3 linked regions of the Astyanax mexicanus genome follow. The protein of the gene in region 3 interacts with the protein of the main gene of each other region in a pairwise test. Links are inferred from orthologs where the notes say so. Each region holds a gene or a part of one and is shown on either strand. Other genes may lie near its edges.

What was found. The genes of interacting proteins can lie anywhere in the genome.
Region 1: the proteins of keap1b (region 3) and dpp3 interact in binary tests that used the Homo sapiens proteins (3 or more experiments, as listed by UniProt). The two-hybrid records come from large-scale screens. The link is inferred for Astyanax mexicanus from reciprocal best matches to the Homo sapiens genes KEAP1 and DPP3.
Region 2: the proteins of keap1b (region 3) and prkag1 interact in binary tests that used the Homo sapiens proteins (3 or more experiments, as listed by UniProt). The two-hybrid records come from large-scale screens. The link is inferred for Astyanax mexicanus from reciprocal best matches to the Homo sapiens genes KEAP1 and PRKAG1.

What each region holds. Positions count from the first base shown.
Region 1 is NC_064424.1:16,347,347-16,351,102, forward strand, and holds the start of dpp3 (dipeptidyl peptidase 3), read left to right. Parts: upstream 1-1,521; 5' UTR 1,522-1,605; intron 1,606-3,095; 5' UTR 3,096-3,137; coding exon 3,138-3,407; intron 3,408-3,508; coding exon 3,509-3,598; intron 3,599-3,688; coding exon 3,689-3,756. UniProt on the Homo sapiens protein: Cleaves and degrades bioactive peptides, including angiotensin, Leu-enkephalin and Met-enkephalin. Also cleaves Arg-Arg-beta-naphthylamide (in vitro).
Region 2 is NC_064412.1:12,725,040-12,728,795, forward strand, and holds the start of prkag1 (5'-AMP-activated protein kinase subunit gamma-1), read left to right. Parts: upstream 1-1,247; 5' UTR 1,248-1,395; coding exon 1,396-1,404; intron 1,405-3,756. UniProt on the Homo sapiens protein: AMP/ATP-binding subunit of AMP-activated protein kinase (AMPK), an energy sensor protein kinase that plays a key role in regulating cellular energy metabolism.
Region 3 is NC_064412.1:31,853,077-31,856,832, forward strand, and holds the start of keap1b (kelch-like ECH-associated protein 1B), read left to right. Parts: upstream 1-1,420; 5' UTR 1,421-1,554; intron 1,555-1,562; exon of another isoform or gene 1,563-1,778; intron 1,779-2,050; exon of another isoform or gene 2,051-2,532; intron 2,533-3,040; exon of another isoform or gene 3,041-3,143; intron 3,144-3,418; 5' UTR 3,419-3,756. UniProt on the Homo sapiens protein: Substrate-specific adapter of a BCR (BTB-CUL3-RBX1) E3 ubiquitin ligase complex that regulates the response to oxidative stress by targeting NFE2L2/NRF2 for ubiquitination.

The DNA.
Region 1 (3,756 bases), on a different chromosome or scaffold from region 3:
ATTTTTGGTCTTTCCTGTCAAGAATGATAAAGATGAGAGCATTTAAAATATCTGTGTGTCTCCCTTGTATGATACTTTTGATGATTGTATTTGACAGTGCAGTGCAGTGCAGTTCATGGCTCATTGCTTACATAAAACTGATACAAGTCATGCATATTTACAGCCAGAGATTGGAAGTGTAGAAAGTATTGTACTGCATCTGTGGTCAGAGGTTCAGATGTATAGATACACTGCAAAGATACATGAATGTCTTTCTAAAGTGTCGCTATTTCTTCATTATTCCATCCATGGCAGCACATATTAATTTTAAGGGAAACCCTTACATTAAAATAATGGCATGTTGAAAAACTGGCAAAGAGTACTTTTGAAGACTATAAATATTTAGGCATGCAGATCTCTGATCAATCGCATGCTTTAAAATGGTGGTTTTGTCTGTTCACACCCTGATTATCAAATAACATTGAATACATGTTATTTTGTTTATTGTATTACATATATTATGGCTGATAATGAAAAAAAAAACCTTTATTTAACATTGCATAGTAGACATTGGTCAATGTTGATTTTCTTAATGTTTACTTAAAGATTTTAAATGGTTGGGCTGAGCTCTTCTACACTTACAATTCTTTTAGGTGAAAGGTCCTTCCCACAAATTTTAGTATTAATACTTATTATTTAAATAGCCCTTTCTACACTACAAGGACACAATACAGGCTATAAGAATAGAATACAAACAAGATATACAGTATCAGTCAAACATTTACACATTACATTTCATTATTAAATTTTATTTTTCTGCATTGTAGATTAATATCAAACTGAGGAAAATATATGAAATTATTTATTAAACAAAAAAGTGTCAAACAAACAAGAGTATGTCTTATATTTTAGATTCTTCAAAGTTGACACCTCAGTTTTGCACGACTTTAAGTTTTCTTAGTCAGTTTTATAAGATAGAGTCACTTAGAATGGCTGGCTTTCAGTTAACAGCTGTGCTGAACTTGTGAAATGTTAATTACTTAAATGTATTGCCCTTGTCCTGGCATCAGTTGTAAATTTGTGTGTGTAGAGTTGGTATACAGTAAATAGCTCTATTTGAGTAATGTTTTATTCCATATTATAGTAAGAACTACTCAACTAAGCAAAGCAAAAAACTAATTAATGAAGTTCAGTCAATTTGAAAATTCTCAAGACAGAAGTTAACAGCACCCCAGATAAGAGCCACCTAATGCTTCACAGAGTATATTGGTTTGTTTAACACTTTTTTAGTTACTGTGTTAACCATTGTGCGTTCCTTCATAGGCTATGTGACTTCAGCATATGTAGGGAAAAAAGAAAAATATACACATTAAATTAAAAGAGGTGTATACACACACACAAACCCAGTGTGTACAGACCCCTGGACATGCTCTGTGGGTGAAGAGCTCTTTCTTGCGCTTCAGCATGAACCCTTCTCGACTCCGCGCTCTGATTGGTTGGAACAGCTGTCAATCTTCTTTTCGCGCGCATGATTGGTTTCGGGGCGGGCTTTGCTTTGAATGGATAGCGGAAGTCGGTGTGGACGGTGAGCTTGCATTTTGACAGCGTTGGACAGAACTGGTTCAGGTAGAAAGTGATTTAAGTGCATTAATTAACGCAGGGAGCGGGTCTGTGTGAATGGAGGAGGTGTAGTCAGACTGGAGCTCGTTTAAATGCCTAATTAATTTAGCTGGAGAACTTAAACAGCACAAGCTATCAAGTTAGCTAGCAAACCTGAGCTAGGCTAGCTAGCTTTGTTAGCTTAAACTGCTCAGTGTTTTCAGTTGAAGTGAAAGTAACATTAGAAGACCAGGTCTGCAACTTGCAGTGTCCATAACATATCAGATAAATTATATTCAGAGAGCTAAAACATCCCCTTTGTTTAAAATATTCAGTTTCATTTAATAGATTTCTCCTTCTGAACTGAGTGAAATATTTATTTATTAAACTGAGGGACATATTTATTTTTTAACATAAGTGAAAGATTTATTTAACAAACGAAGGGAAATTTTTAATTATTAAATTGCGTAAAAGATTTGTTTATTTAACTGAGGGAAATATGTATTAAAGGGCTCTATTAGCGAATTCAATTGAAGGAATGAGTGCTTTATTAATCTGAGGGAAAGATAGTGCTGGAAGATATGGAGCAAAAATAATGTTTTTTTTTTCTGAATGGCGATGTACAATATATGATATAACCTATTATAATGTGTATCATTTTTTTCGTAAGGTAAAACTAAAACATTCATTATTCATGTAGAAGTATAGATACTAGAGTTTAAAAGTAATTATCAAAAGTAAAAGTACTGGGTTCAAAACATGCCATTAAGAATAAATAAAAGCTTAGGCTATAGGGCCTTACCCCCTTACCAAAACACCTTTTTTTTGTCTAAAAAGAAGTAAAAAGTCGTTTGAAAATAATTGAAAATAATTAATCCATCAAAGTATAGATTTCAACATTTCCACTTAAATAAGGTAACATAATATTTGTATTTTGCAGGGCATTTTTATTATTCAGTGCCATATCCTGTGTGTATAGCAGACATAGCAGAATTTTATGTCTAATTCCACAAATTAATTATAAACTACAGATGTTTTTAACAATAGAATTTTCTTTTCCATTTCAAGTAGCCTAGAAACAAGTGCCACATACAAAATTGCTTTGGGGACAAAGTGCATTTAAAGTGTTTAAGAAAAAGTAAATGTAGTCCACATAGTCTATATTGATATAAACAAATTTGTGTCTTATATGAAAATATATAGAAAATTCATAAGATTAAATTGAGGAAATAGTAGGGGCTCATTAATCACTCAATATCTAGTTGGCTGTAAAAGTCTGTTAGTCCTTTTGTGCCAGTAAAAGAAGATATAAAATTTTGCCATTTTTTCCTAGTCATTGAACATCTTCCAGGTCCATTACTCAGCATTATTACTGTATTACTGTATCAGTTCATTTCTTGTTCCTTAACAGCTACATTTTTTTTCAGAATTACAAATTTAATTTGTAATTTCGTCTTGTTCTTCACTCCACAATTAAACTCATTTTAACTTTACTCTTCGTCTCTTTTCTCTTACAGAGCCCTTTGATTGTAGTAGAGGAAACGTGCTTGATAACCATCATGGTGGATTCTCAGTACTACCTCCCCAATGATATTGGGATCTCAGCTCTGGATTGTGCGGAAGCCTTCCGACTGCTGTCTCCCAAGGAGAAGTTGTATGCACATTACCTCTCTCGGGCAGCTTGGTATGGTGGTCTCGTGGTGCTGCTGCAGACCTCCCCGGAGTCTCCCACCATCTATGTGCTCTTGCAGAGAATATTCCGGAAGCAGCCCCCTGCAGAGCTGGAGGCCGTGGCAACTGCAGCAGGGCTGACCTCAGAGGAATACCAGGTTAAAAATCTCTCATGTTTTACTAATCTCATATTTAATAGCAGTACAAAGTTGCCTAAGTGGTAATGGCAACTTTTGTTTTTCTCTGTTTATTTTTACAGGCATTTCTTGTATATGCTGCGGGGCTTTATGCCAACATGGGAAACTACAAGTCATTTGGTGACACCAAGTTCATCCCCAATCTGCCAAAGGTAAATGCTCCAAAGCTTCATATGCATATTCTGCTTTGATTTATGACTTTCTATGACATCAGTTTTAACTGGACCTGAATATACCTGCAGGAAAAGTTCAAGGCACTGGTGTGGGAGAGTCAGGCCTATAAGGAACGCCCTGATGAGATCGAGGTGCT
Region 2 (3,756 bases), about 19 Mb from region 3:
ACCCTTACAGAGTACTACAGCATGTGTGTTGCTGACATTATCCATTGCTGGACAATTCATGGTTTTAATGGCTTTTGTGATGAGGACAGCTTGTTTTGTAATTTCTGTGGATTACATACCCAAGTACAAAAATTTTACATTTTTACAGTATTGGATGTGCTAAATGGCCCACAATTATATTGTATAATGCAGTATATTTTGTTGGAGAATTCTAAATGTTCTATATTAACTAGTACTACTAGTTTTCATTACAACACACCAGACAAAAAAAATGAAACAAGCTATAAGAGTTGGCTAATACAAAAATATATATTTTTTTGTATTCTAGGAACAAAAAAAACAATATGCTTGAATTTAAAGTTACATTCTCCAAGCTATACATACTACATACACCATACATGCTATTAGACTCAGGCCCTTTGCAACAAAGCAAGCAAACCAATCAGTTGCTTGGCAACCTTAGCTGGCCCCCAACCAATGACTGGTTATAAATTGAATTTCTCATGATTTCTCAAAAAATCCTCTAAATGACAATATTTTTATTTGTAATTTGGGAGAAATGCCATCAAAAGTTTATAGAATAAAAGTGCAATGTTCATTTTACTCAAACATATACCTATAGATTTATATTTTTAATATTATTTTTATTATAAATATATATATATATATATGTATGTGTGTGTGTGTGTATGTATATGTATATATATATATATATATATATATATATATATATATATATATATATATATATATATTATACATTCTATTTTCATGTGGTCTCAATTTTTTTCCAGAGCTGTCCAGATTAATTAATTAATTTATAAATTATTAATAAATTATTTTTTGCAACTTGTGATGTCTGCAGATGCCTTGAGATGACTTCTGGTAATATACTGGTAATGTAATGTGCTGGTAATGTAATGTACTGGTAATGTAGTGTACCGGTAATGTAATGTACTGGTAATGTAGTGTACCGGTAAACTAATGTACTGGTAATGTAGTGTACTGGTAATGTAATGTGCTGGTAATGAAGTATACTGGTAATGTAGTGTACCGGTAAAGTAATGTACTGGTAATGTAGTGTACTGGTAATGTAATGTGCTGGTAATGTAGTGTACTGGTAATGTAATGTGCTGGTAATGAAGTATACTGGTAATGTAGTGTACCGGTAATGTACTGGTAATGTAGTGTACTGGTAATGTAGTGCCTGTTTAGAAATGTGTGGATTTGGAAGAGGCCCCTGGTTTTACAACATAGCGTCACTTCCTTCGAGCGGCTCGGCTGGCTGTACTGAGACTGGAGGCGGGTGGGGAGTGTGTGAACGGAGTGTGTGAGGAGTGAGTAGGGGAACCGAAGCAGAGGAACCGCGGAGGAGAGTGTGGAGCTGTATGGACCATGGAGTGTGTGAGTATCTTCAGCTAAAAACAGTTAAACTCAGAAGTAGGAGAAACGAGCCGGCGGGCTCTTCAGACCGTTAGCGCCTCCGGTACCGCGCTCTGGCTTAACGTTATTTAGCTAGCGTTAGCTAGTTAGCTTATCTTAGCTGAGTGAGTAGGGTTAGTTGTGTATCGCCTGGTCTGCTTCTGTAGCTCAAAAGACCAAACGGGCTTTTAAAAGTATAAATAACATGAAAATGAAAAGATAAGTTGCCAACCATCTTTTTGGCTTCGGTAGAAACTTTTAAAACTGAGTTTAGATCCGCAGTCTTGCAGTTTTAACATCCTGAGCGGTGCTAGCGAGAATCTAGCGCCGGATAGTGCCAAACAGCGGCGAATAACAACTCCTTATCTGGTAAGGTTAGTTAAATTGCAGACAACGTCTGTGGGTTCCTCTCTCTATTTATCCTTTATCTAGGTTAACTAATTCTATTTAATGCCGGCTATCTATTAAAAGAGTTAACCTAGCCTCTGTTGGAGTAAGTAGTTTGCTAGCTAGCTAACCCAACAGGCTAACTAAGCTAACCTATCTAATTACATGAAATGATGGTAACGTTGTCTAGGACCTGACAGTTAACTAACACGTACGTTACTAGTTAATGTTTGTTAGTTATAAATCAAAACGTATGTTTAATATCAAAACATTCAAATACTTTCACCACTGCTGCTGTTTAAGTTAGTTATTATTTTGAGTGTAATGACAGCTAGCGTTAATTCTTTATCAGATATGTTGCCAACATGTAAAATCTGAATAACAATATTATGGTGCAAGATCTCAGTATATCTGTACATTTGTTTTAGTGATTTAGCTCAGTCTTCTCAGTGTTAATATAATTTTAAATAGTCAAGTCCCGTCAAGTATTTTTTTTGTCATAACTGCAGGTGTAACTTACAGGACAGCTAATTGAAATTATTTTAATCTCCTTTCCAAAAGTTACAGCAAGTACCACATAAAATTATAAATATAAAATAATGAGAGACACTATATGTACAATACAACAAGGTCACAGATATAGACATACGTGAGGCAAGAGACACAATAGTGATGGGGGGGGATTAAAGAAGGAATGACAATGCCTGTATTAACACTGGTGCAAATATAAAGGTATAAAAGCTAAAACACACACACACATATATATATATATATATATATATATATATATATATATATATATATATATATATATATATATATATACGTATATATATATACGTATATATATATACATATATATATATATATATATATATATATATATATATATATACGTATATATATATATACGTATATATATATATACGTATATATATATATATATATACGTATATATAGTGTGTGTGTGTTTAGCTTTTATACCTTTATATTTGCACTAGTGTGTGTGTTTGCTATTGACTGTAACAGCTAGCTGGGTAACCCACCACAGGTTTGTCCTGATACAGTACCAGTCAAATGTTTGGAGACTCTTCTTCTTATTTAGTGTGTTTTCTTTCTTTTTATGTTTCCATTTTTTAAAGTAGCACATTTATCTTTAAGGGCAGATCTGCACACTCTTGGTATTTTAACCTCAGTGTCTTCATGAGGTAGCGTCACCTGGAATAGTTTTCTCAGCGTTTTGAAAGAGTTTCTGGAGGTGTTGAACAATAGTTACGGCTTTTCTTTTAGGTTGTGCTCCAGCTCATCCCAAACCACATGGGTTGGGTTTTTATGCCAGGTGTTTGTGTCTTCTACCCAGTTGCATATGTTTTCCTTCCTAGTTTTTAGGTATTTAATAATAATCTACATTGTCGTATATAATACAAAGAACAAATGTTAATGAGAATGTGTGTTCAAATTTTTGACTGGTACTGTTTCGTACATGTTGTAAAATCTGAAATATGTCATGGTACGAGATCTTAGTATATCTGCCTTTTTTGTGCTCAGCTCAGTCTCTTTACTAAAATTGTTGTAGGACCTTAACACTTGGCTTAATAACTAGGATGTGTGTTTTCTATTGAATGGCTGTAGCTAGGAAACAAAGCCCAGTTTTGTCCCGGTAGTCTTTTCTTGTGATCATATTTTATGTAATTAAACTGCATACTACTGCATTTCTCTCTGTAAAGAAATAAATATACCAGATAAACAGAATTACTGTAAATAATGCACTAGTTTCTGCCTGTTGTTGTAGATAATGTAGAGTTAAAAAGGAAAAGAAGTATGCCAGGTTTTAGCTTGAATTTCCAATTTATTTTATCTAGACACATCTTAAAATGTAATTTACAGTGTTAGTTTGTCAGAATATTGTGACGTCGGGAGTAACTTTAGCACATGTATTCAAAATCA
Region 3 (3,756 bases):
AGCCTTCATATAAAGCAAAATTAGATTTTATTGTTCTGTGTGAGCCCATGTTCCTGGTGAAATATGCATATTAGTTTTGCATTATCATGCACGCACACATCAGTCTGCGCGCGCCTAGTAATGCGTTTGTGTTGTGAACTGCACGCAGGGAGCAGGGAGGGTGGGAAGCCTACTTTTAAAATGACGTAATGTATTTGCGAATTTAACAATTACGTAATGCATTTGCACATTAAACATCTTCACACGCTACAGGTTACTGCGTGAGTGATACATAGATCAGTGCAGCAGAAAGCTCGTGCACTGACTGCTAAACACGCTTGCAGTCACTCGATGTGCCAGTATTTCCAGAAGGTCGCGAGGCTGAACTATTATGTTCTTAGTTGCTTTTAATTGTAACTCTGACAGAAGGAAGAAAGGAGCTGATTGTTTGTTCTGTCAGCTTTGTGTTAAGCCACCGTCGAATCCTACATTCAACCCTGGGCTGCAGATGATTGGCATATGATGACAGGAAGGCAGAAAAGCTGCAGGGTGAAAAGACACAGTTCTGTGTAACGAGTGTGTAAGAGGGGGGAGTGTGCGGGGGTGGGGGGGTGGGGGGGTGTTGTTCTTGTGAGGTTTGTTGTGGCAATAGGAAGCTTGCTCTATTCAATTCGGAATCGATTCGAAAGAACCTTTTACATGACTGAACGATTCCTTTTAGTTTAGTATCACAAAGAAGATATTCGCACCTTCAACCACCCACTTTCCCAGTTTTGTGATACATAAGAAAGTAGTTAAATAAGTCACATCTCTATTAATAAAATATGATTTATTATTATTTATTATTCTATTATTGTTTTTTTTGTTTTTTCTAATGTTGCTTCTTTTTATACTTTTGTTTTAAATGTTCTTTTTTTGTTATTTCAGTTCAAAGTTAGTGTTCACATATATTTTAATAATTTTACAGTTTATTTTCTTATTCCGAAATGTATTTATGTAATTTGGATTGCTTGACTGATTCATTTATCTATCTATATATTTTAACTCTTACTAATTAAGCCTTAAATTGTTATTTTTTACTCTTCCAGTCTTGTTTTTTTGTGCTTGCTTTTGTTAAATTAATATATATATATTCTCTTTAATCCTTGTTTACCGTGAATACAATGTACTTTCAATGAAAAATAAGAGTTGGTTGGGTTATATAAATAAAACATGTATATATTTTAAAGATATCACTATGTCATGTATTACGCTATTATTTCATTTATTCAGTACTTTTGGTGTTACTTTTTCTTTTGACACTACTGTAGTCACGGTTATTGCAATGTTTGACCATTTATGTTCTCGATAGCTACAGTATATTGCCTATTTGAATCCGAGTCTGAATCTAGTATTTGCGAATCGACTCATCTGACTCGGTTCATGGAGAACAATTCGTTCCTGAATCGACCGTCGCTAGTCGGTCGCAGTGCTTAGTCATGGTGACTTACTGCTTCGCGCTCTCTCTCTGTCCCCCCCCCTCTCCTCTCATCTGGCCTTTAGTCAGCACTGACAGACTTCATCCTCACAAGACGCGTGAGTAGCAACCTTAAAACCTTTGCACTGCAAAAAACGAGTCGTTGTGTTTCGTTAGAGCTGCACTTTTCTGTGCATTTTCTTTGTTTATCATCGTGTTGCACGCTGAGTCGGTGGGAAGTGATTCATCTGCCCGTGCTTCACCAGAGTGCACTGCTGAGGAGTGTTTTCGAGCTTTGCCAGGATACATAAGTCTGTCTGTCTGGAACAGCACAGACCGCTAGGTAACATAGGTTAGTTTTTAGGTGTAGGGTCGCAGTCTTAGAAATCCCACTGTTTATCTAAAGCATTTGGGGCTGTGATTCATGCAGAGATCTTTAACACTGAAAATCATGGACTCATGGATCATGAAGAAATCCACTACCCATACAGTAGCTCTACTCGTTTAAAAGATGGTGCAGGTTTTATATAAGGAGTGTTTATATAAGGATTAAGCCTAAAAGATTAGATAACAATAAAATAAAAGTAAACAATAAATGCAGTGTTAAATTATTTTTCTTTACAATAATATATGGCTGTAGTGAAAGGTATTAAAGACCCACAATAATCCAGTCGGGGTTCATGGGGTTAATAAAGTGAAACACGATCGCCTACTTTCCTTATCCAGCTGACGGCATGCCTTAACTCTCTGTATTCTCTTTTAAGATGTAAAATTAAGATAAGCTATGTAGGTTAGACTGTTTTACCGAAAATTCCGCTAGCTGTGCCAGTGTTTACCTGATTAAATTAAACAAACCCTTCGCCGGTAATTGTTTTGAATAAGGTGCGCGTTGTTTGGTAAAATAACCTAGCGTTAGGTAACCTAGTTAGCTCCTAAAAGGAGCTGCTGTGGCTAGTTTAATTATTAAAGCGAGAGAAAGTTTTACACGATATACCTGTAATGTTATCCACCCTTTAGAAACGCTTCTTTAAAAGCTCTGCGGACTGAAAAGTTCAAACCTGAACGGACGAGGCTGGAGAACGGCGAAGTTTCCTGAGGTTGGTTGGCTCATTATGACCCACTCTTCAGTAGAATCGCTTCCCGCCTTGGCAGCACTGTCCCCCGCAGGGGCTCGAACTCAAGCCCGGGGATTCGCGGCCTGTGGTTTGGTTTTTGTTTAGTTTTATTTTTTACTCTCCACGCTGATATTTATTGCTTTTTAAAGTGTCGTTACAAACAGGCAAGCGACCATTGATATGTAGAGTCGACATTGGCTAAAACATTTTTTTTTACTTGTGGTGTGTTAAAATTACAACTTAAAATCGACTATTTCGCTCTCTCTGACCAATTGTAACATTTCATCAGTTTACACTAATGCTAACAAAATGTCAACAACAAATGCTTTTGTTGTATTAAGCTGTGTAGTGCAGAGAAAGACACCTGTGGAGTAAAAGTTTGTAGTTGTTTGGACGTCAGCGAGATAATTTGACGTAAAGAAAAATGTAGTCACGATGACGAGGGGGGAGTCGGACCTGATTGAAACCAACCAGTGTGTGTGCGCGTCACTGGTCTTAAATAACAGTGTTGTTCAGCTCACTACCACAACACCACATCCAGCAGCAGACTGGTTGGCTTGTTTGTGACTTGGCATATCCATGGATACTGATAAGTAACTACCGGACCTTTGGACTATTTTTTTTTAGCTCTGAACTCTCAGCATATACTGTTATATGTGTTTCTGTTGCAATATTTTGTGTGTTTTATTTTAGTTTTATCAGCATGATTAAAGTTAGTTTATGCTGTCTGATTGCAGTGTGCTGACTGTGTGTCATTTAAGCAACAGGAATGTACTTGTTGTGTCAGGACAGAATGTCCGTGATTTCACCCTGTTGATCTTTGTCGTAAATCTCTCTCGCTCACTCTCTCACTTCTTTTTTTTTGCAGGTCTTTGAGCGACCGGCAGACGAAAACAGATTCCAGGGCACAGAACTTTTAAGACCTTCAGTCCTGGCGGGATCAGCTGTGTAAAGCTGTGCTGTTTTCCTGGAGAAGATTGTCTGTACAGGCTAAATAACCTCTAGCACCTTTCACACGCCTTCTGACCTGAATGTCTGTAATCTTTCAGGCTGTCGGCTAGACTTCGAGTTTACAAACGGAGGTGAAACGGTGACTTTTAACCTAGAAAACCTTATGCTACAACGAGAGGAAATTATTTTTTTTTCCAAGTCAAGGAGTTCTTATACTTTCATTGAAAAACTCCTTTTAGGGCACTTTAGGAGCAG